Linked DNA regions of Macaca mulatta. The main gene of each other region encodes a partner of the protein of the gene in region 2 in a complex. Links are inferred from orthologs where the notes say so. Each region holds a gene or a part of one and is shown on either strand. Other genes may lie near its edges.

Region 1 (9,432 bases), on a different chromosome or scaffold from region 2:
GGCGTCTGAGCCTCTCTGCACACTGGGGTAGGTAGAAGTCTTGCAAGCCTGACCGTCCCTCCACTTCCAGCGTCTACTGGGACTATGCCATGACCATCCGCCTGGAGGAGATTGTCTACCTGCACTGCCACCAGCAAGGTAGGGACTGTGGGGACAGGAAGGGGGCTGTGATCCTCTGATCCTCTTGGATCGCCTGCCTGTCTCCACCCCTGCCTATTCATTAGCGTTGTATGACAGTGATATGGTGGACACCCCATATTACCTGTGCCACCTTGGGCAAGGGACCTCGCCTCTCTGTACCTCAGTTTCCCCATCTGTAACATGGGAATTACAACAGGACCCTCTCATGGGGTAGTTGTGAAGATGAAATGATGGATGTTAAGGGCTCAGCATGAAATCCACCTATGGCTATGGCATTAGTTGCTGACACTAAGCACTGATAATGCTTAGATGACTCTGCCATCGATCAGCTGTGTGACCTTGGGGGAAGTTACTTAACCTCTCTGAGCTTTGGTTTCATCATTTGTAAAATAGGCAATAATAGATAGGACTCTTAGGGATATTGTATTTCAATAAGACAGTGCCTCTAACATGCTGTGGTTGTACTCAGTAAGTGCTCAATACATGCTAGCCAGAGTCAGCTACTGTCCGGAGACAGGGGACGTTGAAGGCTTCCATACAAAAATAGGTCGGGTAGATTTGTAAAGGATTCCTGAGGAGCGTAGGGTGCTAGGGGGCATCTTTTTCTTTTGGTGGTTAATGTCAGGAAGGTCAGCTTGGTTCTTCTTGACTTTGTCCTGTAGTCCCCAGTCAGAGGTGGATGGTGGGTGAGATGAGAGAGACTCCGGGGAGGTAAAAACTGCTCCTGACCTTTGCCCAGGCCTTTCCCAGAGCCTCAGAGCAGGATCCCTGGGTCTGGCTTGGCACCCCTGGGGGATGTGTTTGCAGGAAGGGGCTGTCACTGTGCCTCATAGTGACTTCCCAATGGGTCTTCTCTGGCTGCTGGTGGCGGCAGTGGACAGCGGCGGGACAGTGGTATTGGTCAGCCAGGACGGGATCCAGAGGCCGCCCTTCCGCTTCCCCAAGGGTGGGCACCTCCTGCAGTTCCTCTCGTGCCTGGAGAATGGGCTGCTCCCGCATGGGCAGTTGGACCCGCCACTGTGGTCCCAGCGGGGTAAGGTGAGTGATCATGGGGACCCGGGGAGGTTGGGGTGGAGGCTGGTCACAGAGAGTGGTTGTTTTTGCCTGTGTGCCCTTATGTGGCTGTGTGGCCTCATGCGCTCCCCACTGATACCCTCAGACTAAGCAAGTTGTGGGGACAGGTGTGTCCCAAGGATCTTGCTTTGGGACATGTTCTTGCAGGGCAAAGTGTTTCCTAAACTACGCAAGCGAAGCCCTCAGGGTTCTGCCGAGTCCACATCTTCAGACAAAGACGATGACGAGGCCACGGATTACGTGTTCAGGATCATCTACCCTGGCATGCAGTCGGAATTCGGTGAGCTGCTCTGTCCCGGGCCCTGGGGAGTCACCTGCTAACTGATGCTGAAAATGATTCCAGGTGTTTAAAACTAGAAGATGACAGGTCTGGATTCTGGGGCTAACAGGAAGATCTGGAAACAAAGTTGGTTTCTTGGTAGCCTCAGTTCCCCCCCAAATAAGAACAATAACCACCCTCTACTTGTCTAATAAAGACACTAGGAGAGGTGGCCTGGGGTAGTGGCAATGGCATAGGTTCTGGAATCCTGGCTGAACTTGGGCAAGTCATCTCAGCCCTCTGTGCCTCAGTTTCCTCATCTGTAAAATGGGTATGTTCATAGCACCAGTTACATAAGTCATTCTGGGGATCAAACGAGGTAAGGCGGCCGGGCATGGTGGCTCACACCCATAATCCTGGCACTTTGGGAGGCCGAAATTTGGGAGGGAGAACTTTGGATTGCCCGAGCCCAGGAGTTTAAGACCAGCCTGGGCAACATGGCGAAACCCTGTCTCTACAAAAAATACAAAAATTAGCCAGGTGTGGTGGCATGCATCTGTGGTCCCAGCTATTTGGGAGGCTGAGGTGGGAGGATCACCTGAGCCTGGGGAGGTCGAGGCTGCAATAAGCCGTGATTGTGTCATTGCACTCCAGCCTGGACAACAAAGTGAGGCCCTGTCTCAAAATAAATGCAAATTAAAATATTTTTAAAATGAGATCAGGCATTTCACACACATACAAAATACTCAAATGTTGTTGTTGTTAATATTCTACTTCTCGTTATTATAAAGAGTCAATGAGATGATGAAATATTCATCGTAGAGCTCATGGAGTAAGGCCTTGCACACAGTAGGCCCTCAGTAAGTTGTAGTCAAACTTGACACCAATAGAGGCGAAGCACATGAGATGATGGTGAATGGCAAGCAGGTTGCACGGTGCCTTCGTGACACAGATGCGTAGCAAATGGAAGTTCTTACTGCTAAGAGCGTCATCATTGCGGGGCTATTGTGAGGATTCAGTGAATTAAGATTTGAAAAGTACTTAGAAGAGGGCCTGGCATTTATGAAGCATGGTATGGGTGTCTGTTAAACAAATCAGTATTGAGTGGTAGGCTCTTTCTGTTCACTTCATTTTATTTAACATGCAGCGGCCCTGATGTTCCCATCCGAGGATAATGGCTCTGAGCCTCCCTTTGCTGAAGCAGCCACGTGCTGGGCAGTGAGAGGCTCTTTTGAGAGCAGATGTCCTCCTGGACAAGGCTGGAATCCCTTAAGCACTACAGAGTGTCCTGAAGTATACATGACTATGTCTGTTCCTGCCCTGGATCAGGGCCTCCCAGCCACTCCATGGAACCAGGTGCTCAAAATCCTGGCCAGACACCAAGGCTCTTGTGGGCCCCAAGGCTGAAAAGGCTCCATGTATGAGGGTGAAATCCCTTGGGATGCTGAGCCAGCTACTGTCCTGTTGCCCGAGAACTTGGGCTTCCCACCCCTGTGAAGACCAACATTCATTAAGAGTTCCACTTGAGAGCCTGTTATCAGAGAGGGCTAGATCCCCTGTAGTTGCCTTCCCAGGAAACTCCACAGCTTCTCATCCAACAGGCAATGTGCACACTCCCGCTGGGAGCTAGGCAGAGTGCTGGGTGTTTAGTTTATTTGGAGATTCTCCATGTCATCCTCCTGTGGCTTGATGAAGGCCAGTGGAACAGACACTGGCTGTGCTCACCCACAACCTCAGCATTTCTCATTCTGTGCATGCTGTTCAGCTACCAACTGCAGCTCTCTGTCTCAGTATCTCTTTGCCTGAGGGTTTTCTCTGGCCGCAAGAGTCCCTTCTGGCCAGGGATGGGGCATATTTGGAAGCATCAGGGAACCAGTGCCTCCCTGGAGCAGCCCTCAGCTCATGGCTGATAGGAGTTAGTGTATCAATGTCCCAGCTCCCTCTCCCTTTGTGAGGCAAACTCTGACATACATGTTCTGCACAGACTCCTAGAGCTTCCATGGGAGATTAAGCATAGTTACCTCTATTGGTAACTTGCTTGGCGACTAACCCTTTACTCCCTCCCCTTTTCTTGTTTTGTCTCAGTTTGCCCCTCCCTTACTGATGTGCCTTTGGAACTTGCACTTGGATCCTCATCTGCCCTTGAGGAAACACCCAACTAATTCAGTTTATCTAGAATTGGACATCTGAACCTTAGTGTTACTGTCATTTGGGATGGAATAATTCTTTGTTGTAGGAGGTGGTCCTGTGCATTGTGGGATGTTGAGCACCCGCTAGATGCCAAGTAGCAAACTTACTTTGCTCTAAGTTGTGACAACCAGGTATGTCTCTAGGCATGGTCAGGTGTCCTCTGAAGGGTGGCAAAATTGCCCCTGGTTGAGAGCCATTGGTTTAGAGAAAAGAATGCATCACTGTATTGAGCTCTGCCACTGCGGTGTGGTTAAGTGACCTGTCCTCCGCAGACCTCACTTCCTTCTCTGTAGAATGGGGTAACAGCACTCCCCACCAGCATCATATTCTGAGGAATCAGCAAGATCATTCCTAAAACACCTGGTGACCTGACATGGGGCCTGGCGCTTGGCAGATGCTTAGTAAGCAATAGCAGATATCGTGTCTTGAGTGCCACTGTGTGCCAGGCCCACTTCTGTCCATTGTCCCGCTGTCCCTATCTTAATTCATTCCGTCCTCACCATAGCCCTCCCAGGTTGTCATCACCATCCCCCATTTTGCAAGGAGGAAACTGATTCACAGAAGGGTTAAGCGACCAGTCCAGGATCACATAACTAATTCTTGTCATGGCTGGGATTTGAACGTAGGAGGTCTCGCTCCAGAGCCTGTGCCTGTAACCACCACTCCATGCGCATCGTTTTGACTGGCAGGGAGCAGGCATTGTGCTTTCACTGCCTTCATTCTCAAGGTCAGCTTCAACCCACATGGAAATGGCAACCGCATCCTTGGTTGATTTTCTGGGGCTTGAGCCTCACAGGCTTAACAAAAACAGTCATCTTACGGTTTCCATCTGTGACAGGTTTCTATCTGTGAGAGGTATGAAGTTCTTTCTGAAAGAGGGCCTAAATCAGAAGTCAACAAACCCCTTTTCATGGGCCAAATTCGGCCCATTCACCTGTTTTTGTAAATAAAGATTATATATAATCTCGCTCTGTTGCCCAGGCTGGAGTACAGTGGTGCAATCGTGGCTCACTGCAGCCTCGACCTCCTGGGCTCAGTTGATCCTCCCACCTCAGCCTCCTGGGTAGCTGGAATCACAGGCACAAGCCACCATACCTGCCTACTTTTTTTTTTGATTTTTTGTAGAGATGGGGTTTTGCCATGTTGCCCAGGCTGGGCTTAGAGCTTCTGGGCTCAAGCAACTCATCCGCCTCGGGCTCCCAAAGTCCTGGGATTGCAGGAGTGAGCCACCTCCCAGCCCCTTGATTGTGTTTCTATTGGATAGTGCTGGTCTAGCGTGGGATTTCTCAGCCTCAGCACTGTTGACATTTAGGGCTGAATAATTCCTTGTGTGGGGGTTGCCTTGTGTACGATATTGAGCAGCATCCCTGACCTCCAGCTACTAGACAACAGTAGCACCTAATTAATCCCCAAGGCGTGAAAACCCAAAGTGTCTCCAAACATCGACAGGATTGCCCAGGTTGAGAACAGGTGGTGTGGAGAGAAGTGCCTATGAGAAACCAGCTGAGGTAGAAAGAGTAGGATGACAGTCAGGTCCTCAGGCCAGGCACAGTGGCTCACGCCTGTAATCCCAGCACTTTGGGAGGCTGAGGTGGGAGGATGGCTTGAGCCCAGGAATTTGAGACCAGCCTGGGCAACATGGCGAAACTCCATCTCTACAAAAAATTTTAAAAACATGAGCTGGCCATGCTGGCACGTGCCTGTAGTCCCAGCTACTCAGGAGACTGAAGATGGAGGGTCACTTAAGCCTGGGAGATCAGGGCTGCAGTGAGCCACGTCTGTGCCACTGTACATCAGCCTGGATGACAAAACAAGACCCTGCCTCAAAAAAAAAAAAAAAAAAAAAAAAAGAAAGTCAAATCCCCTGAGTTGGGATCTTGGCTCCTCTGCTTATTAGTTGGGTGGTCTTGGGCGTGTTGCTTAAACTCTCCATGCCTCAGTTTTCCAGTCTGTAAAAGGGGATAATGATAGTACTGTACTCAGTAGGGACAGCTGTTGTTAGGGGAAAGAGGAGAGGGACTTCGGTCAAAAAAGACTAGATATGTCCTTATCTTAATTCATTCCGTCCTCACCATAGCCCTCGCAGGTTGTCATCACCATCCCCCATTTTGCAAGGAGGGATGACTTGCAAATGGCCTACTGCCTGGCAGGGCTTTGGGTGATTAAGTTGTGCCATCATTCTGAGCCTCAGTTTCTTCTTCTGCAAAGTGGAAGAGGAAGGATGCATCCCTCACAGGGTCGTGAAGGACAATAACTGGTTTCCTTAGGTTTGCTCAGGTCGCAAACTGCCTAGCCTGACACTCAGCACATAGTAGGCACGTTATAAAAATCGGCATTCTTTCTTCTAATTGAACACAGTATATGTGGGATCTGTGTGGAGCCAGGGAGGGGGAGGTTTGGAGCCCCCAGAAACGGACTCTTCCAGCTATCTCAGTGTCCTGAGATGGCTCCGAACCCCCACCTCACTGGTTCTTTCTGTTTTGTATCTCAAGTTGCCCCCGACCTCTTGGGCAGCACTTCCTCCATCTCTGTGGGCCCTGCCTGGATGATGGTTCCTGCAGGCCAGTCCATGCTGGTGGTGGCCAGAGGGAGTCAGTGGGAGCGAGCCAGATGGGACACTACTCTCCCCACGCCGAGCCTGAAGGAGCAGCCCCCCAGTAATGTCTGGGATCTCCCCTTCCCTGGGGGCTGGGTGCCAGCCACCTCTGCCATGTTGTCATTTGAGTCCTGGTCCCAAGGGAGGTGGAGGCAGGAAGGGAGATGGAGACAGAGAGATTGATGCCCTCCTGCTGTCTAGCCTCCACCCTATGGAAGGCAGCTTGCAGTGTGGTAGGTTCAGTAGCAAAGGGATCAATTGGTGTTACCTGTGTGGATGCGAGTGTGAGAGGCTGAGACGGAGGAAGGCACGGTTACCATGCTTGGGCTAAACTGGTCAGGGCACCCCTGAGATTGGCTAAGAACTGGGGCTATTTTTCTAGAACATTTTACAGGGGCTTACTGGTCTTCCTTGGCTAGCTCATGGGTGAGTTACATGGGGAAGAATAGTGTAACAAGCCACATTTGGTGGCTGCGAGAACTACATCATATAGCAGCTTCCTCTTCTGTCAGTGGGTAGGGGCTGACCTTGTCAGCTACGGAGCGCTGACGGCCAGAGGACCAGTTCCACAACTCCCCCTTACCTTGGGGCCCAAGGGAAGAGTCAGGGTATTACCAGCTGTCCTGTGGGGACCATGACATATGGGTGTGCCACTCTCTTCACTTCCTACAACAGGGATTACAAAACTAAGACTCAGCCTGGCGCGGTGGCTCAAGCCTGTAATCCCAGCACTTTGGGAGGCCGAGACGGGCGGATCACGAGGTCAGGAGATGGAGACCATCCTGGCTAACCCGGTGAAACCCCGTCTCTACTAAAAAATACAAAAAAAAAAAAAAAAAAAACTAGCCAGGCGAGGTGGCGGCGCCTGTAGTCCCAGCTACTCTGGAGGCTGAGGCAGGAGAATGGCGTAAACCCAGGAGGCGGAGCTTGCAGTGAGCTGAGACCTGGCCACCGCACTCTAGCCTGGATGACAGAGCGAGACTTCATCTCAAAAAAAAAAAAAAAAAAAAAAAGAAAAAGAAAAGAAAAAGAAAACTAAGACTCGTGAGCTAAATTCAGCCCCATTCTATACCAGCCTATGAGCTAAGAATGGTTTTTCAATTTTTAAATGATCCAAAAAAGCCAAAAGGAGAGTAATATTTTATGACATGAAAATGATATGACATTCACATTTCACTATTTATAAATAAAGTTTTATTTATTTTATTAGAATGTGCGCATGCTTCCTTTTTAACATTTTGTTTATGGCTACTTTTGTACTACAACAACAGAGTCAAGTGCTTATGACAGAGACCAAATGGCTTGCAAACGCTAAAATATTTACTAGCTGTCCCTTTGCAGGAAAAGTTTATGGGTCCCTGTTTTAAAGAAAATAAAGCTTTTGCGCCTGTCTAGGACTACCAAGAGACCAGGAAATTGACTATAGAATTTGTAATGCATGTGTCCCCAGTATGTTTGTTATGTGGCTTTGTAGACACTGCAGTTTTTACGAAGCTGAGAAAGAAAAATAAAGGAAGCTATGAGTGCTGTATCCTAAGAATGGCTGGTCAGGAATCACCAGTGTCCACAAGTTGGGAAATCAGAGTCTGTTGAATGTACTTGCTGTATCGAAATTGCTTTAGAAATACAGATTTGAGAGCTCTGTCTCCAGGATTTAGTTGAGTAGGCCAGAGTGTGAGGCAGTCATATTGCTTTTTAACAAGCCTCCCACATGATTTTAGGGAGTCGCTAATATGTTTGAGACCCACTTGGTGGAGCAGCTTTAGCCTCAGAACCATGGACAGCGCAGGTGCCCTCTTCATCAGCAGGGGCTTCACTGGGTCTCTGGCACTTGGGTGCCCTGCCTCATCTGTTAAGTCAGGCTCCCTTCCATCTCACCCGTGAGGCCTGTCTCTTCTCCAGAATCATCCAGCAGCCTCCCCTTCCCTCCTGCAGCATCCTGTTAGTATGACTAAGTGACAACATGGTGAGGTTTGGCTTCCTGCTCTGGGATTGGGCCTCTTTCCTTGGCTCTTGGCTCTCTGTGTCCTCTTCTTCTCTCTTTGGCTGTCATCAGCTCTGCCCATCTCTCAGGGCCACCAGATTTTGGTGGTGGCTTTCATTGGATCAGGTAGACTCAAGGATGTTCGGGGCTGCTGTTTCCTACTGTCACCTTCAGGGTCTTTTCCTATCTCTGTGCTGGCTGGGGCGGGTGAACTGCTTGCTCTGGGGTGAGATTTCTGTGACCCACATAGGCTTAACCAGGGTGATTCTTCTGCCCCTCCTTCTATCCACCACAGTGCCCCAGGATCTGATGGATGTCTCCGTGAGCAACCTCCCATCCCTATGGCAGCCCAGTCCCCGGAAGTCCTCCTGTTCCTCCTGTTCACAGAGTGGCTCGGCTGATGGTGGCTCAACCAATGGCTGCAACCACGAGAGGTATGAGGAGCCTGAGCTGCACATGGAGGGAGCTGAAGGATGTACCAGAAATCTGTAGATGCCCATATCTTACCCTGCACTGAATTCAGAATGAAATAACCTGTGGACTCAGGCAGATATAGGTTAAATCCTGGCCATGAAATCCTAGCTGTTAGAGGGTCACATGTATTAGTCAGGATAAACAAGGTTATGGTGCAGTAACAAACAGTCCTAAAATCTCAGTGGCTTTTTTATAACAAAAGTTTATTTCTCGTGCATGCTGTGTTTCTATCATGGGTCATCTGGTGCTATTTTTTCCACACTAAAGGGCCTGGGCAATGGAGCAGCTACCATCTTGAATGTTGCCAGTCACAGTGACAGGGAAAGGTAACTGCAGAGGTTGGAACCCACAATAAAAAGGCTCTGCCCAAAAGCAGCACATGTCATATCCACTCACAGCCCATTGGCCCCATCCACAAGGGGACAGCAAGTGCAGTCCTACCATACACTTAGAAGGCAGAATAATCCCAGAACTCTAATTTAATGACAACCACATCTCAGTTTGCGCCTCCACACAGTGGGAATTCCAGTTCTTACTTTATATGGCTGTGGTAAGGACCAGCTCAGGTAATGGTTTAAAGTGGCCAGAATGTGGCACCTGCACATGGTACTGTTCAGTAAATGATACTTCCTGTTTTGTTGTATAAAGTTAAATCTCAAGCTCATCTCCTGTTTGCCCATAGATCTTTCGTCTCTTTGAAACTATTCAGCCAGT
Region 2 (10,076 bases):
GCTGTGAGTAGGATCCAGCACCCGCTTGGATTATTTATACTCCTATGGATGGAGTGAGGGTAGGGGAGGTGAGAGGATAAGAAGCTGGTTATGTGAGGGTGATGGCAGTCTCAGCTCTTAAACCAAAAAATAAAGAAAGCTGCAAATGAGCACTGGATATTTAGATAAAAGATCCTGGGGCCGCTGGAAGAGGAACACTTCAGCATCACTATCCTGAGTCTTAGGAGCAGCACATATGGTTTTGGCTATGTCTGTGCGGGCTTATGTCTGAAGGAAATAGTTGCCAAGATAACTGGACTTTTGCCTTTCACTAACCATTATAGCCTAAGACAAAGATTAAATTGGGTGGCCTTATGAAGTACTTTTAAAAGTTTCTTAAATTTGCTTCATTGAAAAACTTCCACTTATTGCCCAAAATAATATTATAACGTGGAATTCAAAATTTAAATAAAAATTACCCAGAATCCTACTACCATAATGATTCAACTGCTTTGATTTTCCTTGCTGCCTTCCATTCTTTTGTATATAAACACTAATATATACACACTCATACAAACACACACACATATACTTTTCACATAATTGTAACCATGGTGTGTATGCGATTTTCCTTCCATTGCCTTTGAAGTTTAAGTTCAGTTTTTGACTCATGTTCATCAGCAAATCAGCAAAGGGATTGAATTCTTCACTTCATTCCTGAATTTTAATGCTTGTTCCATTTTGCCATTTTTTAATTAACTAAGTTAGGTTATATTTAGAGTGTGGTCAAGAAAGTACAGCACTATTCAACATACACATATTATTTTTAAGAGAATACATTAGATCTTGCATCGCTAGAGAAAGTATTACAATTTTAAGTTCTTCTACCAGTTGTGAAGATTTAATAATAATTTGCCTGTTTTCTTTATTTAGAAAGATTTATTGAAAGCTGCTATGTGCTAAGTTATTTGTGACGTTGTTTGCGAAACTTGTACTACTCTTTCCACAGCCCTTCCCATTGCTGCCTGCTCATTCTTAGGGCTCGACAGGAGTCACCTCCTCATTCCTGCCTTCTCTGGTATCATTACCCTATATTCCCACCTACTGCACCTTGAAATTATTTTCTGCAGTCCATTTGTAATTACACGTTTGTTTAGTTACTTATTGAATGCCTCCTCTAATCTTCTCTAAGCTCTCCTAGAAAAGGAACTGAATCTATTTTGTTAACCAAGATAAAGTCACATAACATTTTTTAAAAAGCTGGTGGATGGGAGCCAAAGTGTGGAGGAGGGTGTTTGTCCTCAGAGAAGAGGATGGTGGCTGGGGACGCCCCCTGAATTCCTCCCATGTCTTATTTACTGCTGTATTCTCAGCACCTAGCACAGCGTACACGCTCACTATATATTTGTTGAATAAATAAGTATTAACATGAATTGACTTTTCATTTCCTGCAAATCTTAAAATCACCCAAGGGAAGAGACAGTAAATGTCTGTCTATGCTGCAGGCATTGGAGGGATTTGGGTGAGCGTGGTGGTTACCCACAAACTTGAGAGGTGTGAGTTGTGTTGGCTCCTGCCTCCCATGCCTGCCTCCCTTCTGACAGTGTGTAGGTTGACAGAAGGAAGCATGGCAATGGCTTTTGACACCCAGGTTGCCATTTGACAGTGTCCACTGGATAGAATTCATAGGACTCATGAAAGAATATATGTTTTATTTGGTTGAGGGCCAGAATTTTCATTTGCTTACATCAATCTGAGTCTGGAAATTCTGAAATTTGCTCACTGGTGATATCTAGATTAAGGATGATGCCCCTATTCATTTTTGCTTGAGAACTCCTTTTTAAGCATAGCGGTGAAGAAATCCGATTTCTGGCATTTCCTTATACATTGAAATTTTATCTGACTTAAGAATCACTATCAAAAGTTCTATATTCGTGCAAGAAACATGCTGACTTAGTATCTAGGCAAACTGGATAAGTGTGACATTGGTATAAAATATTGAAGATGTACATATTATATAAATATGTAAGTATATAAATAAATGCATTATTAAATACATCAATATATGTTGAAAAGCTATATATTATAAAAAATGCTTCCTCAACCAAATTGGAATTTTTCTTCCATATACTATTTGGTAATGTTCTTTTTCACTTAACATTATATGTTGTTAAGAATTTTCACTCTGGCTTGACTTTAAAGCCAAATATAACAAATTTTGAGTTACTTTTATGTATATTTTATGCTTTTTCCCCTTCTTAGTATGGCTATAGAAGAACATCTATGCAACATTATGACCAAATCTGTTATTCGGCCAAACAACTTTGGAAAAATATCGAATTTGTGACTATTTACATATGTAATATAATGGTGAAATGGCCTACAACTGAGTTCTGTGTTTTTCCTCGTACGTGAAAGTAAAAGCAGTCCAATTATCATCAGTATTTACTTTACCTGAGTCTAGGGCCCACTTACTTGTAGCTTTTTTTTTTTTTTTTTTTTTTTTAAATTCTTGAGACAGAGTCTTGCTGTGTTGCCCAAGCTGGAGTGCAGTGGCACACGATCTTGACTCACTGTAACCTCTGCCTCCCGGATTCAAGGGATTCTCCTGCCTTAGCCTCCTGAGTTGCTGAGATTACAGGCACGCGCCACCACGCCCGGCTAATTTTTTTGTATTTTTACTAGAGATGGGGTTTCACCATGTTGGCCAGGCTAGTCTCGAACTCCTGACCCGTGATCCATCCGCCTCAGCCTCCCAAAGTGCTGGGATTACAGGCATGAGCCACCACGCCTGGCCACTTGTAGCTTTTCATCAGAGATGCCAGAAGTGATTTCTTTCAGTCTCCAGCTTGAGATGGGGTATTAACTCCCAGGACTCATAGTAATAAGTAGGTGTCATTTAAATAAAAGAATCATTTATGCATAGCAACCTTGGCCTCTTTCTCTCCCATGAGTGATGCATTGGTGTTTACAGAATATAAAGATGAAAATCTTCGTGAGATGAAGGGAGTCAAACTAGGTTAGTTCTTTAATGTTTTCATCAAGGAACAAGTTTATGGAGCAAGAGAGATAGCAACTGTTTATCCAACTTGCATCAGCTTACCAACCACACACGTCCAACAACAAAAACCCCCAAACTTGCCCTTCAGAGAAAAATCTTTTAACCCACTCTACTCTTGCACTGACATAGAAATGTGGTTAAGAAGTGAATGGTGGAAGAGACCAGAATATACTAACATTCTTAAATGTCAGTTGGCTAGTATCCAACTGATAGTAACTTTAGAGAAGGTAACTTTCCTTATTCTTAAGGTACTATAAGCTACACTCAAATGTGTTTGAATGCCTTCTAACATTTTGGAACAGCCTAAGAGTCACTCATGGGACCTTCTTAGAACATTTTTTATGAAAGCTGTTGGGTTTGTCAAGGTTTACTTTAACTCAAAATACAATAATTTCATGAGATCACTTGTTAATAGCTAGTTGGTATTAGCAGTTGCACAGATAAACTCCTATTTTATCACTCCTTGACTATGGTTAGGATGTATGATTTTCAGGTAGCATTTCCTTAATTATCCTGTGGATTGCTTGTTGCAATTTGGCCCAAGGTACATGACTTTTTTTCTATTGGAAAATTAACTCTAATATTCATATATAATGTTTTATGGTGTACTTTTAATGTGTGTTTTAAAAATGATAATGTATATCTCTTCTTCCCCCCAATTTAACAGATTTGTATTTTATAAACGTTTATACATATTTCCTTGGGGAAGTGACCTGCAGATAAGAAACAGATTTCTATCTATGAGAAAAAAATTATTTAAGCTTATGCGTTGTTTTCAGAAGCATTCTAAAATTGCCTTTTTAATTTGTGAGAAACTTTCTCAAATATGACCTTTCTAGTGCTGAATGAAAAGTCATTACCTGAAAATGACTCCCCAGAGAACTGGAGATTATTTAAATTGTTGTGGGCCCCAACATCATAAAAGTGAGATCTTTGTCTTGGAAAATAAACAGACTAAATCTTTTTAAAAGAACTTTTATTTTAGGTTTAGGGGTACATGTGCAGGTTTGTCATGTAGGTAAACTGCCTGTTGCGAGGGCTTGGTGTACAGATTATTTAGTTACCCAGGTAACAAGCATAGTACCTGATACCTAGTTTTTTTCCTGCTCCTTTTCCTCCTCATACCCTCCACCCTCAAGTGGGCCCTGGTGTCTGTTGTTCCTATGTGACCATGCGTTCTCATCATTTAGCTTCTACTTATAAGTGAGAATACGCAGTATTTGGTTTTCTGATAAACAAACTAAATCACAAACAAATTAAATGTATTGAGATGTCACTATGAGTCCCTCCCACTTTCAGGGTTCTGTATCATAGGATTCATGCACTCAACTTCACACATAAAGCAAGGACTTAAGGAGAGCTTCTCCAGTACCACTTTTGCACCATCGCTTTCTATTTAGAGATGACGGAGGCAGTATTTTAACAAGATTAAAGGAAAGTTTTAATAGCTTCATTTAAAAAGTTCTTGTTTTTCCACAATATCACAACTGTTTTCATTTTTCAGCTACCTGTTTGTTCTTTGTCCGTTTGCCTAGTCGTTTTTATCATTGTAATCACGACATCCTGTGACTGTGCTCATGAGGTCTGTTTATTTCCACTTTACGTAAACTTTTCAAAATGACAGTTATTTCGTACTCGCTCTCGCCCGAACACAGACGGGAGGACACTCGAGGAGCAATCGACCCAAAGGAAAAGCACGATTCAGGCCCCGCCTGCCTCGGCTCCACCTCCCACGGGCCCCACTCCCAGGGCCTCCGCCGCGGGACCCCGCCTTCCAGGCCCCGCCTCCCGGGGCCCCGCCCTGCTTTTCTCATCGCCCCGCCCCGGCCCGTCGCCATGTTGTTCCCTCCGCGCTGGACGGGAGCAGCTGGACCTGGAACCTGGCTGCGGTACCTTCGCTGCCTCCTGCTGTGCAGGTCCCCGACCCTCTCTCTGTCCTCATTGCACCCAGACGGGCCGGCTCAGAGCTCCCGGCTCGTCTTCCGTGTGGCCGCGAGGTGAGCGGGACTCAGGACTCCTTCGGGGCCGGGCGGAGCGCGCGGGTGTCGGGGTCTGAGGGGGCGGCTAGGGCCTCTGGCCGCTGGGGTGGGGTGCGGTGCGCGCGGGGCTAGCGCGGGTCACAAGGCCGCCCCGGGAGCGAGGACGGCTGGTTGTCTCCCTGCCTGCTGTCTGACGCAGGAGGAAAGACGGGTCCCCACACCTTTGGGGAGAGGGACGCACGGAAACACACACACACACACACACACACACACACACACACACAGGGACGCATACAAACACTGGAGAGAGGGAGATACAAAAGCCCGGACACCCGTGCACATACACACGGAGAAATACACCCAGTCACCTGGGAACACACGTACACGCCAGCCTTTCCCCAAGCACTCCGGGACGCACATCCACAGTCCCCAAACCAAATCCTACACCCGAGTGATTAATGTAGGGAAAACAAAGGCGCTCCCACGACTTGATTTTGGCGACCTCTGAAGTTCCACCTAAGCAGAACGTGTTTGCTCGATGTCTTATGACCACTTGGGTGAGGAATTCGGAAAGTAAAGCCAATCTTAGAGGCTGCAGGAGGTTTGGGGGCAGTATCTGATTCAGACGCTGGCTAACGTTTCACGATCGCGTTCCCTTTTTTCTTCCAACTCGGTAAGTAAAAAGGCAAGATGAGAAATTTACGTGCTGAACTTAATAAATAGTTGGTGGATGTATTGCCTTTTTTTTTTTTTTTTGTAAGGGATGACACATCTCGTGACTACAGTTCTTTTGAGGAATAACTTTTCTGCTAGTTTCCAAATCGGCACGTGACCAAAGTCTTTTCATAGGATTTTAGCGTCCTGATAAAAATCAATGGGCAGAATTTGATTGCTTTTTTAAAAATGTGTTTGTCCTTTGGTCTCTGACACCATTGTAATGGAAAATCCCTACATTGCCTGTACTCTCAGAAGCTGTCCAGTGGAGCAAAACTAGAGATAAAGAAACCTGGAACGATTCAGTTAGGAACTTTTAAGAAGCCAGCCTTTAGTTTTTCCTTTAGAAGATTATGCAGTTATCATGATTGCTTCTCTAGAACTTCAGTGTGTTATTTGGATTCCTAAATCTAAGACAATGCTGTGGAAGTCTGGTGCTTTTAGTATTTTTGTGTCTGCTGTAGTAAATTCCTCGTTTATACTACAAAGTTTCTCTTTTGGAGACTTTTGGGATCTGGGCATATTTTTCGTTTATTATTTGGAATGTTAGAGTAGATAGGCAAAAACTAAGTAGAACATCTATTGGCTTTGACTCCAAGCCGGGTTCTTAAGAGATAAGGGGAATAATACCTTAGTTCTATCACTTCTTTTCCAACCTCTCTCATCTCTTTTTGTTTCTATCTCAACCATTTCTTCTGTCTAGACTACAGTACTCTGGAGGCCTAAAGATAAGATTTTTGAGTTCTCGAAATTTTTTTTTTTTTTTTAGCCTCCCCTCATTTCTGGCGCGGTGAATATTCTGTGCGTGTAAATCCTGTACGTACATCATTTCATTTAATTTTCATAGCATTTCTTCAGTAAGAGCTCCATACAGTTGAGGAATTTGGGGGGGGGGCATAGGAAGGTTCAGTCTGTTTTCCAAGATGACCCAGGTTGTGATGGGGTGGAGCGGGGATTCAAAGCAGATCTGGGTAATTTTAGAGTAATAGTTCTCAAGTGGAAGAGAGGACAATTTTGTCCTCCTAGGAGATATTTGGCAATGTCTGCAGGCATTTTTGATTCACACCTGGGGGCAAGGGAGGTGCTGCTGACATCTAGTGGGTAGAGGCCAGGGATGCTGCTAAACATTCTTTTTTATTTTTATTTTTGTTATTTAATTTTTAATTTTTGCTGCTAAACATTCTATAACCTACAGGACAGCCCCCCACAACAAAGAGCTGTCTAGCCCAAAATGTCAGTAGTGCCACAGTTGAGAAACCTTGCTTTTCAGCAGTCCGAGTAATCTCAGAGCTTACATTTCAACTGCTTTTGTAGTTTTTCAAATGCAATGTCATATTCCTATTTGGGATACTTCATCATTTTAACAGTGAGCAGGGGAAAATTCTCTCTACTGAGAAGCATATTTACTTGAAAGATTAAAGAGTGAGTGGCTGGGCACGATGGCTCACGCCTGTAATCCCAGCACTTTGGGAGGCCGAGGTGGGTGGATCACGAGGTCAGGAGTTCGAGACCAGCCTGGCCAACATGGTGAAACCCCGTTTCTACTAAAAATACAAAAATTAGCCAGGCGTGGTGGCGGATGCCTGTAATGCCACCTACTCAGGAGGCTGAATTCAGGAGAATCACTTGAACCCGGGAGGCAGAGATTGCAGTGAGCCGAGGTCACGCCACTGCACTCCAGCCTGGGCGACAGAGTGAGACTCCATCTCAAAAAATAAATAAATAAATAAAGGGGGCAAATAATTTCTGGTAGCAGAATCTGTTTTTTGTTTTAAGGCAAAAATGACAAAAAGAACTTTAGAGCTATTCAGAGCCATTAAAGTGGACTTAGACAGTTTAGTTTCTGCATTATTTCAGTTGTCTGAGCAGCCTGTGGGGCACTGATACAAAGGTGCTGATGAGAAGGGCAGTGGGGAGTCCTAACCTTCCTGAAACTTACAGTCCAATCACAGTCATAAGATTAGGTTCTGACATCATCCTAGAACAGAATTTATTGCCTGGGCTACTCAAGGACAGGGGCCAGGTGTTCATTTAAAAAAAAAAAAACAAAACAGGCTGAGTGTGGTGGCTCATGCCTGTAGTCTCAGTGCTTTGGGAGACCCACACAGGAGGATCACTTGAGCCCAGAAGTTTGAGACCAGCCTGGGCAACATAGTGAGACACCCGTCTCTACAAAAACTAAACTTAAAAAAAAATTAGCCTACCTCAGTGTGGTGGTGCATGTCCCAGCTACTCTGGAGGCTGAGGCAGAAGGACGACTTGAGCCCTGGAGTTCAAGGCTACAGTGAGTCATGATCGCACCACTGCATTCCAGCCTGGGCAATAGAGTGAGACCTTGTCGCTAAAAAAAAAAAATAATAATTAAAGAAAACAACTCCACACTTGGCACAGAAGTACCTGTGTCACGGTGTTTACTGTGGGCAGACTTAGATGAAATGGGGAAAACTTGATGTGTTTGTTACAGTTTTGTACGGTTAACCACGTGTGAATATTTACAGGAATCCAATTGAGAAGCCATTCTTGTTGAGCATAAAATTCATCCTTAAATTTCACCTCACCAGAGAAATAGTTATGCCTGCATTTTGTCACTGGAATCAAGAAATAAATGATGAATTTTTAAATGACTTTGCCATAACTTTCTGGTGTTTTCCAGTCTTTTTTTTCATTTTCATGCCTATTTAAGAGCAGACCTTTCAAAATATGTACTGCTTCATTCTGGTGGCAGAATTAGGTGAACTTTGGGAGGGAATGGTTGACTGGAGCAGTCAAAAAGGATCGCATCTCTTTTTAGGCATCACTGTGAGTGTTATTCATGCAATCAACATGGCGTCTTTTTGTCGGTAGCTTGGTTTTTGACTCATGCCAATACACAGCACGTTCTTTGCTGATGAATAGATTTCTCTGCCTCTTCAGGAGTTGTCTGCTATGGGGTAGGGAGGATGTTGAGTTACACACCTCAAAATGATTGCTAGTGCATACACACGGAATCTGACAAAAGTGACATGTTTTATTCTGGGAAGGGTCGAGAGAAATTGGTGCCAGAGTTGTCTTGTTTGATCATTAATTGGCTTACTCCTCCGCCCAACTTAGGTCACCACATTTCCTTCTGGGTAAAATGAGATGGCTGTGCTTTATAATCTCTAGGAGATTATATGACACAAAGTAGAGGCAGCAAATTATTAGCTTCCAAGGAGTTCTGCCCAGGCAATGTGTTAGTTAAGCAGCAGGAGGAAGTAAGCCAAATGGAAGTGTGTGTGTGTTTGGGCAACGCATCTAACTTGAAAGCTGTATAGATAATAAACTCATCAGTCAAAACCAAGCGTAAGAGAATAGGATTTGTGACTAAGTAGGCCATCAACAGAGAACATTTATTAAGGACTTTTTTTATAGAGGAGTGAGGGTGAACTCAAAAAATGTTTCAGGGAGTTTGGCGGAAAGCTATGATGCAATTGGAAGGCGAGGATGCCTGAGGGAGGAGACCTGGAGCCACCTAGGTGTGTAGGCAGAGGGGAGGGAGGTCGGAGGCGGTCCCAGGCCATGTTGCCAGAGAGCCCAGGAGTGCCAGGGCTAGTTAGATAACTTGGAGGAGAAATCTCTCTTTCTCAACATGACTCTTGATACTGAGCATGTTGTGAACCTGTGTGCTCTGGGTATTTCCACATTCTGGATTTTTCCAATCCTTTTGTTAATTTTTGACCGTGATGAGTTCAGGCGTTGGAACACTGTTGTTTATTATGAGTACAGTGAGGATGAATAGATGTAAATGAATGTAAGTAAGGTAACAGCTGGATCTGCCTGAGGTGGAGAGAGACTGGGTGTGAAAAAAAACGGAGAAGTGAAACAGGCTGTCCCGGCTTCACATTCTGGCTGCATGGAAGCCAGCTCATTGCATTCTCCAGGAGTTCTCTGGGAGTCTGTGGACACAGACTCCACTTTTGTCTTAGGCCTGACTTGTACAAACGTATTCTGTTGTTTGACAGGGGATGGAGAAACACTATAGAACAACTGGACATATTCATTTCATTGCCACATTCTTTATTCAAGTGTGACAGAGAGCAAAGCAGTATAAAGGAGTTGAACTGACTACTGTAGTTTAATTTCAAGTTCGTGTGAATTGGATTAGATTTTTGGGTACAGAAGCTAAGGTAATTTCCGAAAGGTTAGTGCGAATAAGACTGTCTGTGTTCTCAGCGTTGGAAAAACCTGGGGGAAAAAAAGCCTTACAGACTTCTGTTTCTAGAACTTGCTGTGCAGAACTCTAACAGATAGGAGTGTTTATGCAGCTAGGTGACTGCCCTGGTCTGTGCAGTTTCACACCTGTGTATTTGATCAGATGTATATAC
Region 3 (9,915 bases), on a different chromosome or scaffold from region 2:
CCAAGGGGGTCCAGGCGCAGTGGCTCACGCCTGTAATCCCAGCACTTTGGGAGAGCTGAGGCGAGTAGATCAGTTGAGGTCAGGAGTTTGAGGCCAGCCTGGCCAACGTGGTGAAACCCTGTCTCTACTAAAACTACAAAATTAGCTGGGCATGGTGGTACACATCTGTAATCCCAGCTACTCAGGAATCTGAGGCAGGAGAATCGCTTGAACCCAGGAGGAAGGGGTTGCGGTGAGCTGAGATCGCGCCACTGCACTCCAGTCTGTGTGACAGAGTGAGACTCTGTCAAAACAAAATAAAACAAAAAAATCCAAGGGGGGAATAATTCCAGCTACTTGGGAGGCTGAGGCAGGAGAATCACTTGAACCAGGAGGTGGGGGTTACAATGAGCAGAGATCGCACCACTGCACTCTAGCCTGGGTGACAGAGTGAGACTCCATCTCAATAAATAAGTAAATAATAAAATTCCTAAGGGGAGGCTTGGTGTGGTGGTTCACGCCTGTAATCCCAGCACTTTGGGAGGCTGAGGCGGCTGGAGCACTTGAGGTCAGGAGTTCGAAACCAGCCTGGCCAACATGGTGAAACACCGTCTCTACTAAAATAGAAAAATTAGCTGGGCATGGTGGTGAACACCTGTAATCCCAGCTACTTGAGAGGCTGAGGCGGGAGAATCTTCTTGAACCCAGGAGGCGGAGGTTGCAGTGAGCCTAGATTGCAGCACTGCACTCCAGCCTGGGCAACAGAGTGAGACTCTGTTTCAAAATAAAATAAAATAAAATTCCAAGGGGCAAGGCATCAGAGGTAGTAAAGTGTGAAGCAGGATGTAAATGATTCATTTATGTTTGGGAAGTTTCCTGAAAGACATTTGGTACTTTCCTTAAGCCTGTTGATAGGTGGTGGGGTTCCCCTTTTTGCCTCTAAGCAGTTTTTAGGAATTAGCAAGGAGTCCAAAGTAGAATTTGAGAAAGGCTATTCTAAGGACAGCAGGAAGGCAGGAGTGGGGTGGGAGACCCTGTAATGGCTAAGATCTCTTTGCCTCCAGCATAGTGCTACAGAAGGAGGGTTTAGGAGTCAGAGCCAGCTCTGAAGCCTGATTTGTTAATTACTAGTTGTAAGACCTCAGGCAACTCAATTAACTTCCTGCACCTTTATTTCCTCATCTTTAACATGGATACAATAAAATGCTTTCCTATGGTGCATCATCTGTGGTTCAATTGCATGGTTGCCTCTCTATAGTGGCCTTCCCTGACCATAGTATCTGAAGTGACCCCTCCCAGCCCTTTTCTATCAAACGAGCTTGCCTTAGTCATAGCACTTATCAAGATCTGAAATGTTACTTTTTCTGCTTATGGATTTAGTGTGTTTCTCTGTTAACAATATAAGCCCTTTGAGGCCAGGTACCTTGTCTGACGTGTTCACTGTGCTGTAAGGGTGCATTGTACAGAAGAATGCTCATAATGCCAGGTGCTGTGGTTCAGCCTATAATCCCAGCACTTTGGGAGGGAGACTGAGGCAGGAGGATCCCTTGAGCCCAGGAGTTCGAGACCAGTCTGGGCAACATAGTGAGATCCACGTCCCTACAAAAAAAAAAAAAAACCAAAAACGTAAAACTTAGCTGGGTGTGGTGGTGCACACCTGTGGTCCCAGCTACTTGGGAGGTCCAGGATGCAGTGAGCAGATTGTGCCACTGCACTCCAGCCTATGTCACAGGGTGAGACTGTCTCAAAAAAAAAAAAAAAAAGCTGGATAATAATATACATATTTTTAGTTTGTATGAGCACACAGTAGGTGTTTATATTTATGGAGTACATGAGATATTTTGATACAGGCATACAATGCATCATAATCACATCAGGGTAAATGGGTGTCCATCACCTCAAGCATTTATTCTTTCTTTGTGTTACAAGCACTCCACTTATACTCCTTTAGTTATTTAAAAATGTACAATACATTGTTGTGGACTGTAGCCCTCTTGTGCTTCCATATACTACATCTTATTCATTCTAACTCTATTTTTGTACCCACTAACCAGAATGCTCCATGTTTGTTAATGAACATGTTATGACAAGATGTTTTGGAAGAAAAGTTAAAAAAAAATTCCAGCCAAGCATGGTGGCGCACGCCTGCAATCCCAGCACTTTGGGAGGCTGAGGCAGGTGTATCGCCTGAGGTCAGGAGTTCGAGACCAGCCTGGCCAACATAGTGAAACTGTGTCTCTACTAAAAATACAAAAAATTAGCTGGGCGTGGTGGTGGGCGCCTGTAATCCCAGCTACTAGGGAGACTGAGGCAAGAGAATCGTTTGAACCTGGGAGGCGGACATTGCAGTGAGCCGAGATCACGCCATTGCACTCCAGCCTGGGCAACGAGAGGGGAAACTCCGTCTCAAAAAAAAAGAAAAAAAATTCTTTTTAAATTTGTTAGTAAACAATTAGGGTTGCTGTGAGAATTGTGCCTGGCACACACACACATTTAAAAATCATGATCATCAGGCAGGGTGCGGTGGCTCATGCCTGTACCCAGCACTTTGGGAGGCCGAGGTGAGTGGATCACCTGAGGTCAAGGATTTGAGACCAGCCTGGCCAACATGGTGAAACCCCGCCTCTACTGAAAATACAAAAATTAGCCAGGTGTGGTGATGTGGGCCTGTAATCCCAGCTACTCGGGAGGCTGAAGCAGGAGAATTAATTGAACTCAGAAGGCGGAGGTTGCAGTGAGTGGAGATCAGGCCACTGCACTCCAGCCTGGGAGACAGAGGGAGACTTCATCTCAAAATAAATAAATAAATAAAATCAAGATTATTTAACAAATACATATATTGTACTTACTATGTTAAAATTTCTGTTGTAAACGTTTTTACAAATGCTGTTAACTCATTTAGTCCTCTGCATAATGTCGTTTTTTTGTCTTTTGTTTGTTTGTTCTTTAAGACGGAGTCTTGCCCTGTAGCCTAGGCTAGAGTGCAGTGGTGTGATCTCGGCTCACTGCAACCTCCACCTCCCGGGTTCCCGCGATTCTCCTGCCTCAGCCTCCTGAGTAGCTGGGATTACAGGCGCGCGCCACCACATCAAGCTAATTTTTTGTATCTTTAGTAGAGACGGGGTTTCACCATGTCGGCCAGGGTGGTCTTGAACTCCTGCCCTCTTGATCCACCTGCCTTGGCCTCCCAAAGTGCTGGGGTTACAGGCGTGACCACCGCGCCAGACCCATAATGGCGTTTTATAGATGAGGAAACGGAGTCATAGAGGCGAGGAAACGGAATCATAGAGGCCAAACAACTTTCCCAAGATCACACAGTTAGTAAGGGGCAGAGCTAGGACTCAAAGCCAAGCTTATGACCAAATTCTTGTGCACTAAGTTCTCTTGCCTCTGGAGAAGATAATGATGCTGAAGATTCACTTTGGATGTAAAAGAGTAGGAAGGGCACGGGGCACTGCTAGCTCCAGTGGGCCTGAATCTTTGTCTTTCCTTCTGATTTGGGGAAAGTGCAAAAACGGGAAAATGCAATCGGAGTGAAGAAGAGGCCGGCTTATTTTCCTGAAATGCGCGGCCCGCAAGCCCAAACCCATTTCCCGGGTGTCCAGGCAGCGTCCTGCAGCATCTCCAAGACCCGCCCGCCCCAGCCCAGCGCCCGGCAGCCGGCGCCTCCCAAGCCCCCCTCGGGCCAGGAGCCTCCGCCGCGTGGCCCCGCCGCGCCCGGCCTGGGAAAAAAGTTTCCAAACGACGCTGCTCTGCGCTGATTGGCCAAGGCGGACGCGGTACCGTGGAGCAGCAGCCAATGGGCGGCGCCGGCTGCGGGCTCCGGGGCGGGGGCGGGGTCCGGAGGGCCGGGGCCGCACCGCCCCTCACAGCCGCCGCCGCCGCCGCCTTGTCTTCGCCGCGCCTGCACCGGTAAGTGCGGGGCTGCGCCGGGCTGGGGTCGGGGTGGCTGCCCGGGACCTCCTCCGCAACTGGGAAGGCTCCTCTGCCCCGCCCCAGGACCCCGGAACCCCGGGCCACCGCCTGGCAGGTACCCCCACGCCCCTGGCTTGCGGGTCGCTTCCCGGCCGCCTGGATTCCCCCGGTCCCCGGGCTCCAAAATCCCGCCTCCCTGGAGCCTCCGGTCCTAAAAAGTTAGACACTGAGTGCCTTGCCACCCGTGCGTCCCTCGCGCCCGCCCCTCGCCCTTGGCAACTTTGTTTCTCTTTCTGCGCTGGTCTCTCTTCCACCCGGTTGCCCTCTCCTCCTTCCGGGACTTCCTGGGTGGTTCAGCCTTGCCCTTCCCCAAACCCCCGCTGCCAGGCTCCATCCTCTTTCTCCTCTTCCTCCCTCCCCATACTCCTTTCCTAGATGCCCCTCGTCTCTTTTCTCTTTCTCTCTCCTACCCCTCCATCCTGCCACCCCCTTCCCTGCGACCCTAGACACCCCGATTGCAGCGCTACCCCTGCCTTCACACCCACTGTCCCGCCCCTGCAGGCCTCTTTCCAAAAACCTCCCCCCGCTCCCTCCCTCCGGGAACATGTTTGGGGCAGTCTCCTCTCGCTTTGCTCCAGTCTCTGCCGCAGGACGGTTCGGGTTTCTTCTGACAGCACATTGGGGACGGATTGGGTAAAGGACGAAAATGCTTATTCCGCAGCTTGAGTGATGGCTGGGCTCACCTGCCTCTCTGAGGTCCTGGGAAACCCCGCTGTCACCTTGACATCGCTTTTGGGGAGGCGACTTTATCTTTTCTGAGCCATCTCAGGCTTTCTGCCTCCTGAGGGCCTGAGCTTCCTTGATGGCTTTGTCCGTGGTTAGTACCAGGTTATGTCTCTTAATTTCTACTTTGAGCCCGAGGCCCCTTTTAACGTTTTAAAGAAAAGGCCTTTGCAGCACGACCTGGGCAGGTTCATCATTTTTAGTTTTGTTATAGTGTATTCTAGAACAGGATGGTATTTTAGGGCATGGGTCGGGTGTTTTGAAGATTAATTAGATTCCAGCTATTCCCGAAGCCTCTTGTTACCCGACCACCCCAGCCTCCATCACCTCATTGGTATACAACCCCCTCCCTTTTTTTTTTTTTTTTTTTGAGACAGTGTCTCACTCTGTCGCCCAGATTGGAGTGCAGTGGCTTTTTTATCTTGGCTCACTGCAACCTCCGTTTTCCGGGTTCAAGCGATTCTCCTGCCTCAGCCTCTGGAGTAGCTGGGGCTACAGGTGCGTGCCACCACACCCGGCTAATTTTTTCTATTTTTCAGTAGAGATGGGGTTTCACCATGTTAGCCAGGATGGTCTCGATTTCCTGACCTCGTGATCTGCCCGCCTTAGCCTCCCAAAGTGCTGGGATTACAGGCGTGAGCCACCGTTCCCAGCCTACAACCCATTTTGAGCCTTTCTTCTTAGTGTGTGTTTTGTGTAGGATTAAATGCAGATGATCTGTGCCGCTGAAGTCTCAGGGGCCTTTGATTCATATATTTTATCCCATGTTGGATAACAGTTTATTAACTTGACTTATTCTGTTGGATGTTATTTTTGTTTCCAAAGTGTATTCTTTTATTTTATTTATTTATTTATTTAGAGACGGAGTCTTGCTCTGTTGCCCAGGGTGGAGTGCAGTGGCGCGATCTCGGCTCACTGCAACCTCAGCCTCCCGGCAATCTCAGCCTCCCGGGTTCAAGTGATTCTTCTGCCTCACCCTCCTGAATAGCTGGGATTACAGGTGTGTGCCACCATGCCCAGCTAATTTTTAGTAGAGATGGAATTTCACCATTTTGGCCAGGCTGGTCTTGTACTTCTGACCTCATGATCTGCCCGCCTCGGCCTCCCAAAGTGCTGGGATTACAGGCATGAGCCACTGCACCCGACCCTATCATTATTCTTTTTTTTTATGTAGAGGCAGAATCTTGCTTTGTTGCCCAGGCTGGTCTCAAATTCCTGGGCTCAAGCAGTCCTTCTGTCTGGGCCTCCCACAGTGCTGAGATTACTTAGAGGCATGAGCCACTGCACCCAGCCCAAAGTGTGTTCTTTTGCCTTAGAATGTGTGAACTGAGAAATGACACTCCTTTTCCTCACAAGGTAATTTCCTAACATGAGCATGCCTGTGTACAGAAAGTTTGTGCCTGCAGCTAGTACTATGTGTGTACCTCGTGCAATGGATGTAGGTGCTTTCCGTCTGCCCCCTTAAGCAGTGCCCAGCACTTAGTATGTGTTCAAGAAATGTTTGAAAAGGGATGGAGGAGGCAAAACCACGGTAGGAAAAATTCTTTCCCTGGAACTTGGTTCAGTAGAATAAAATTATCCTGGAACAATAGCTATTTTATTTTTTGTCCAAGTTTTTGTTTGTTTGTTTTTTGAGACAGGGTCTCACTCTGTCGCCCAAGCTGGAGCACAGTGATGCAATCACAGCTCACTGCAGTCTCGACCTCTCAGGCTCAAGCAATCCTCTTGCCTGAGCCTCCCAAGTATTTGGGACTAAAGGTACATGCCACCATACCTGGCTAATTTTTAAAATTTTTTGTAGAGATAGGGGTCTCACTATGTTGCCCAGGCTGGTCTCGAACTCCTGGGCTTAAGTGATCCTTCTGCCTCAGCCTCCCAAAGTGCTGGGTTAGGAGAGAGCCACGGCGCCTGGCCTAAGCTTTTTAAAATCTCTAAAGCAATCTGTGCTTACTGTATAGATGTATATGTAGTGTATCTTAAAGCAGTGTGTCAGGTACATATCCACAGGGCTTGCTTTACCCCCATTCTGGTGCATCCTCCAGACCCTTTTCTATTCTGTGTGCAGAGAGAGGGAAGTAAACAAAAATGGGCACCCATTTGTAACATATCGTGAGCTTTCTTCCATATTAGTACATACAGTTCTTAACAACTGCATCGTTTTCCATTCAGTCCTCTGTTGACATTGAGGTTTCCAGTTTTCCACATTAGTGAATGATGGTGTGCATCTTTGAACATGGATCCTTGCCGGCCTAAGTATTTTTGTAGGCTGATCATTATAAACTTGGAAAGCACAAAGACAGAAGCCAGGCTTGCTGACTCTTGACTGATGTTACCCTAGTGATGTCACTTCTGCAAAATGCAAAGCCTGCGTCCTGGCTGTCGGAGCATGTACGGACATTTGGCAGCTTCTTTCCCTTCCCTCCCGCTCTTCTGTTTGTTTTGATTGGGAAGGATACGGAGTGGGGATGGAGAAGGGTGATGAGTTAATTATTGATGGTTTCTTTATGTTTATTGCTCCTGACTAGCTGTGCTGGCTTTCTTCTCTCAGAGGAAAGCTGAAAGAGATTGCTTTGCTTTTTTTCCAGAGTTTTAAAATCAGAGGTGTGTGTCTCAAGTGTATTTTCAGACTTTTTTCTTAGCTTTAATCATGTAAAACATGCAAAAAAAAAAAAAAAAAAGCATGTGGAAACAACTTTTTTTTTTCTTTTTTGAGACGGATTCTCGCTCTGTCACCCAGGCTGGAGTGCCGTGGGGTGATCTTGGCTCACTGCAACCTCCGCCTCCCAGGCTCAAGTGATCCTCTCACCTCAGCCTCCTGAGTAGCTGGGACCACAGGTGTGCATCACTGCACCCGGCTAGTTTTTTGTATTTTTGGTAGAGATGGGGTTTCACCATGTAGCCCAGGCTAGTCTCGAACTCCTGAGCTCAAGTGATCTGCCTACCTCACCCTCCCAAAGTGCTGGGATTACAGGCGTGAGCCACCACACCTGGCCAGAAACAAATTTTTGAAGGAGGCATAGATCTCAGTTGTGCAAAATAGATACTTTTTGTCCCACTGGGTCCTAGTTTGTCATTGTTTCTTGCATGCTCCCATCAGATTTGTCCACAGAGCTGCTGGGGCAGAGCTGATGGTGTGATGGTGTATTAAGAATGCAGGTTAGTGGCACACAGATGAAATAAATGCCTGTGGGATCCTTTTTTTTTTTTTTTTTTTTTTTTTTTTGAGACGGAGTCTCGCTCTGTCACCCAGGCTGGAGTGCAGTGGCCGGATCTCAGCTCACTGCAAGCTCCGCCTCCCGGGTTCACGCCATTCTCCTGCCTCAGCCTCCCGAGTAGCTGGGACTACAGGCGCATGCCACCTCGCCCGGCTAAGTTTTTTTTTTGTATTTTTTAGTAGAGACGGGGTTTCACTGTGTTAGCCAGGATGGTCTCGATCTCCTGACCTCGTGATCCGCCCGTCTCGGCCTCCCAAAGTGCTGGGATTACAGGCTTGAGCCACCGCGCCTGGCGTGGGATCCATTTTTAAGATAGCAGGCGCAAAGTTGCATATACTGAGACCAGGTATTAACACCTGTCTATTACAGTGCCTTTTAAAACACTGTGTGAGGGCCGGGCACGATGGCTCACACCTGTAATCCCAGCACTTTGGGAGGCCTAGGCGGGCAGATCACCTGAGGTCAGGAGTTTGAGACCAGCCTGGCCAACATGGCGAAGCCCCGTCTCTCCTAAAAATACAAAAAATTAGCTAGGTGTCATGACGTGCACCTGTAATCATAGCTACTAGGGAGGCTGAGGTAGGAGAATCGCTTGAACCTGGGAGGCGGAGGTTGCAGTGAGCTGAGATCATACCACTGTACTCCAGCCTGGGCAACACAGTAAGATTCTGACTCAAAAAAAAAAAAAAAAAAGGAAAGACTGTGTGGGCCAAATGAAACAAGTGAATCTAATCTCCAGTCAGTCAGTTTGCAACCCCTGGGAAGCCTTGGACTTGAATGCAAAGACCCCTTGAACTTGGATCTAGTTTGCCTCGGCTGCTCACATGCACATTTAGAGATGACCAAGGCCTACAGTGTTTCTGCTTCCAAGAAACAGAGCGGTTGTCCTGTTTAGCCATCTCTTACAGTTGCACAGCTTAGAGAGGATAATGTTTGCAAACAATTTTTGAAATGTCTAGCACACAGCAAACAGAAGGCAAATTCAGTACTTAATGCTGATAAAATAAGGGAACCCTTGCAAGTCATCTTGCCTGCTTTCTGCCGCAGAGAGTAGTGCAATAGAACTTTCTGACATTTTCATGTTGTTTATTTATTTATTTATTTATTTTTTGAGACAGAGTCTCGCTCTGTTGCCCAGGCTGGAGTGCAGTGGTGCAATCTCCGCTCACTGCAACCTCTGCCTCTGGGTTCAAGCAATTCTCTTGCCTCAACCACCCAAGTAGCTGGGATTATAGGCATGTTCCATCACGCCTGGCTAATTTTTGTGTTTCTAGTAGAGATGGGGTTTCACCATGTTGCCCAGGCTGGTCTCGAACTCCTGGGCTCAGGCGATCCACCCGCTTCGGCCTCCCAAAGTGCTGGGACTACAGGCATGCATCGTGATGCCCGGCTGATTTGTGTATTTTTAGTAGAGACAGGGTTTCACCTTGTGCTGGTTTCAAACTCCTAGATTCAAGCAATCTGCCCACCTCAGTCTCCCAAAGTGCTGGGATTATAGGCGTGAGCCATCGTGCCCTGCCTCTCTCTGACATTTTTAAATGACAAAGGCAAAAATCTTATACTTTTAAGATTGCTGTTTTATGATAAAGTGAAGTGCAGCTGTTACTTCTTCCTTCTTCGCCTCCAGCATCTCTCTTCCTTAAGGATAGCTTTTAAAATGTAAGGGTTTTTGGTTGAAATGCCGTTCCTGTGGTTTTTGTCTCTCGGTTGGGGTGAAAGATTTTGCAGGCAGTGATATAAATCCAGTTCTCTGCTTAGTTTCTCCGCAGTCCTTGAAATCCAAAACCAGATCCCTCCCATCAGCCCGTTGTAATTAGAACCTGTCCCACAATAGCCGCACGTCCTAAAACATCTCAGATTCATTTCTTTCCTGAGGCTTAAGTTTTTAAACCTTACTGGCCAAGATAAGTGTTTTAAGAAGCTCTTTTATTATTGTTATTATTATTACTCTTTTCTTTTTTTGAGATGGAGTCTTGCTCTGTCACCCAGGCTGGAGTGTGATGGCAGGATCTCGGCTCACTGC

Evidence for each region.
Region 1: the proteins of RAB9A (region 2) and SGSM1 are in contact, whole or in part, in a crystal structure (PDB 4QXA), measured with the Mus musculus proteins. The link is inferred for Macaca mulatta from reciprocal best matches to the Homo sapiens genes RAB9A and SGSM1. Residues at the interface, in NP_062747.1 of Mus musculus: Phe37, Thr39, Ile40, Gly41, Val42, Glu43, Phe44, Leu45, Trp61, Arg68, Phe69, Leu72, Phe76; in NP_766306.2 of Mus musculus: Leu256, Leu257, Tyr258, Gly259, Lys260, Asn261, Asn262, Tyr277, Asn294, Met297, Asn298, Gln361.
Region 3: the proteins of RAB9A (region 2) and NDE1 are in contact, whole or in part, in a crystal structure (PDB 7E1T), measured with the Homo sapiens proteins. The link is inferred for Macaca mulatta from reciprocal best matches to the Homo sapiens genes RAB9A and NDE1. Residues at the interface, in NP_001182257.1 of Homo sapiens: Ile40, Val42, Phe44, Asn46, Gln59, Trp61, Arg68, Phe69, Ser71, Leu72, Pro75, Phe76; in NP_001137451.1 of Homo sapiens: Asp99, Gln102, Thr103, Ala105, Ile106, Gln109, Leu110, Tyr113.

The regions. Positions count from the first base shown.
Region 1 is NC_133415.1:26,302,083-26,311,514, forward strand, and holds part of SGSM1 (small G protein signaling modulator 1), read left to right. Parts: intron 1-70; coding exon 71-138; intron 139-1,015; coding exon 1,016-1,179; intron 1,180-1,362; coding exon 1,363-1,495; intron 1,496-6,156; coding exon 6,157-6,321; intron 6,322-8,539; coding exon 8,540-8,678; intron 8,679-9,432. UniProt on the Homo sapiens protein: Interacts with numerous Rab family members, functioning as Rab effector for some, and as GTPase activator for others. Promotes GTP hydrolysis by RAB34 and RAB36.
Region 2 is NC_133426.1:13,329,091-13,339,166, forward strand, and holds the start of RAB9A (ras-related protein Rab-9A), read left to right. Parts: upstream 1-5,314; 5' UTR 5,315-5,692; intron 5,693-10,076. UniProt on the Homo sapiens protein: The small GTPases Rab are key regulators of intracellular membrane trafficking, from the formation of transport vesicles to their fusion with membranes.
Region 3 is NC_133425.1:16,421,750-16,431,664, forward strand, and holds the start of NDE1 (nuclear distribution protein nudE homolog 1), read left to right. Parts: upstream 1-3,851; 5' UTR 3,852-3,891; exon of another isoform or gene 3,892-4,009; intron 4,010-4,520; exon of another isoform or gene 4,521-4,771; intron 4,772-8,985; exon of another isoform or gene 8,986-9,915. UniProt on the Homo sapiens protein: Required for centrosome duplication and formation and function of the mitotic spindle. Essential for the development of the cerebral cortex.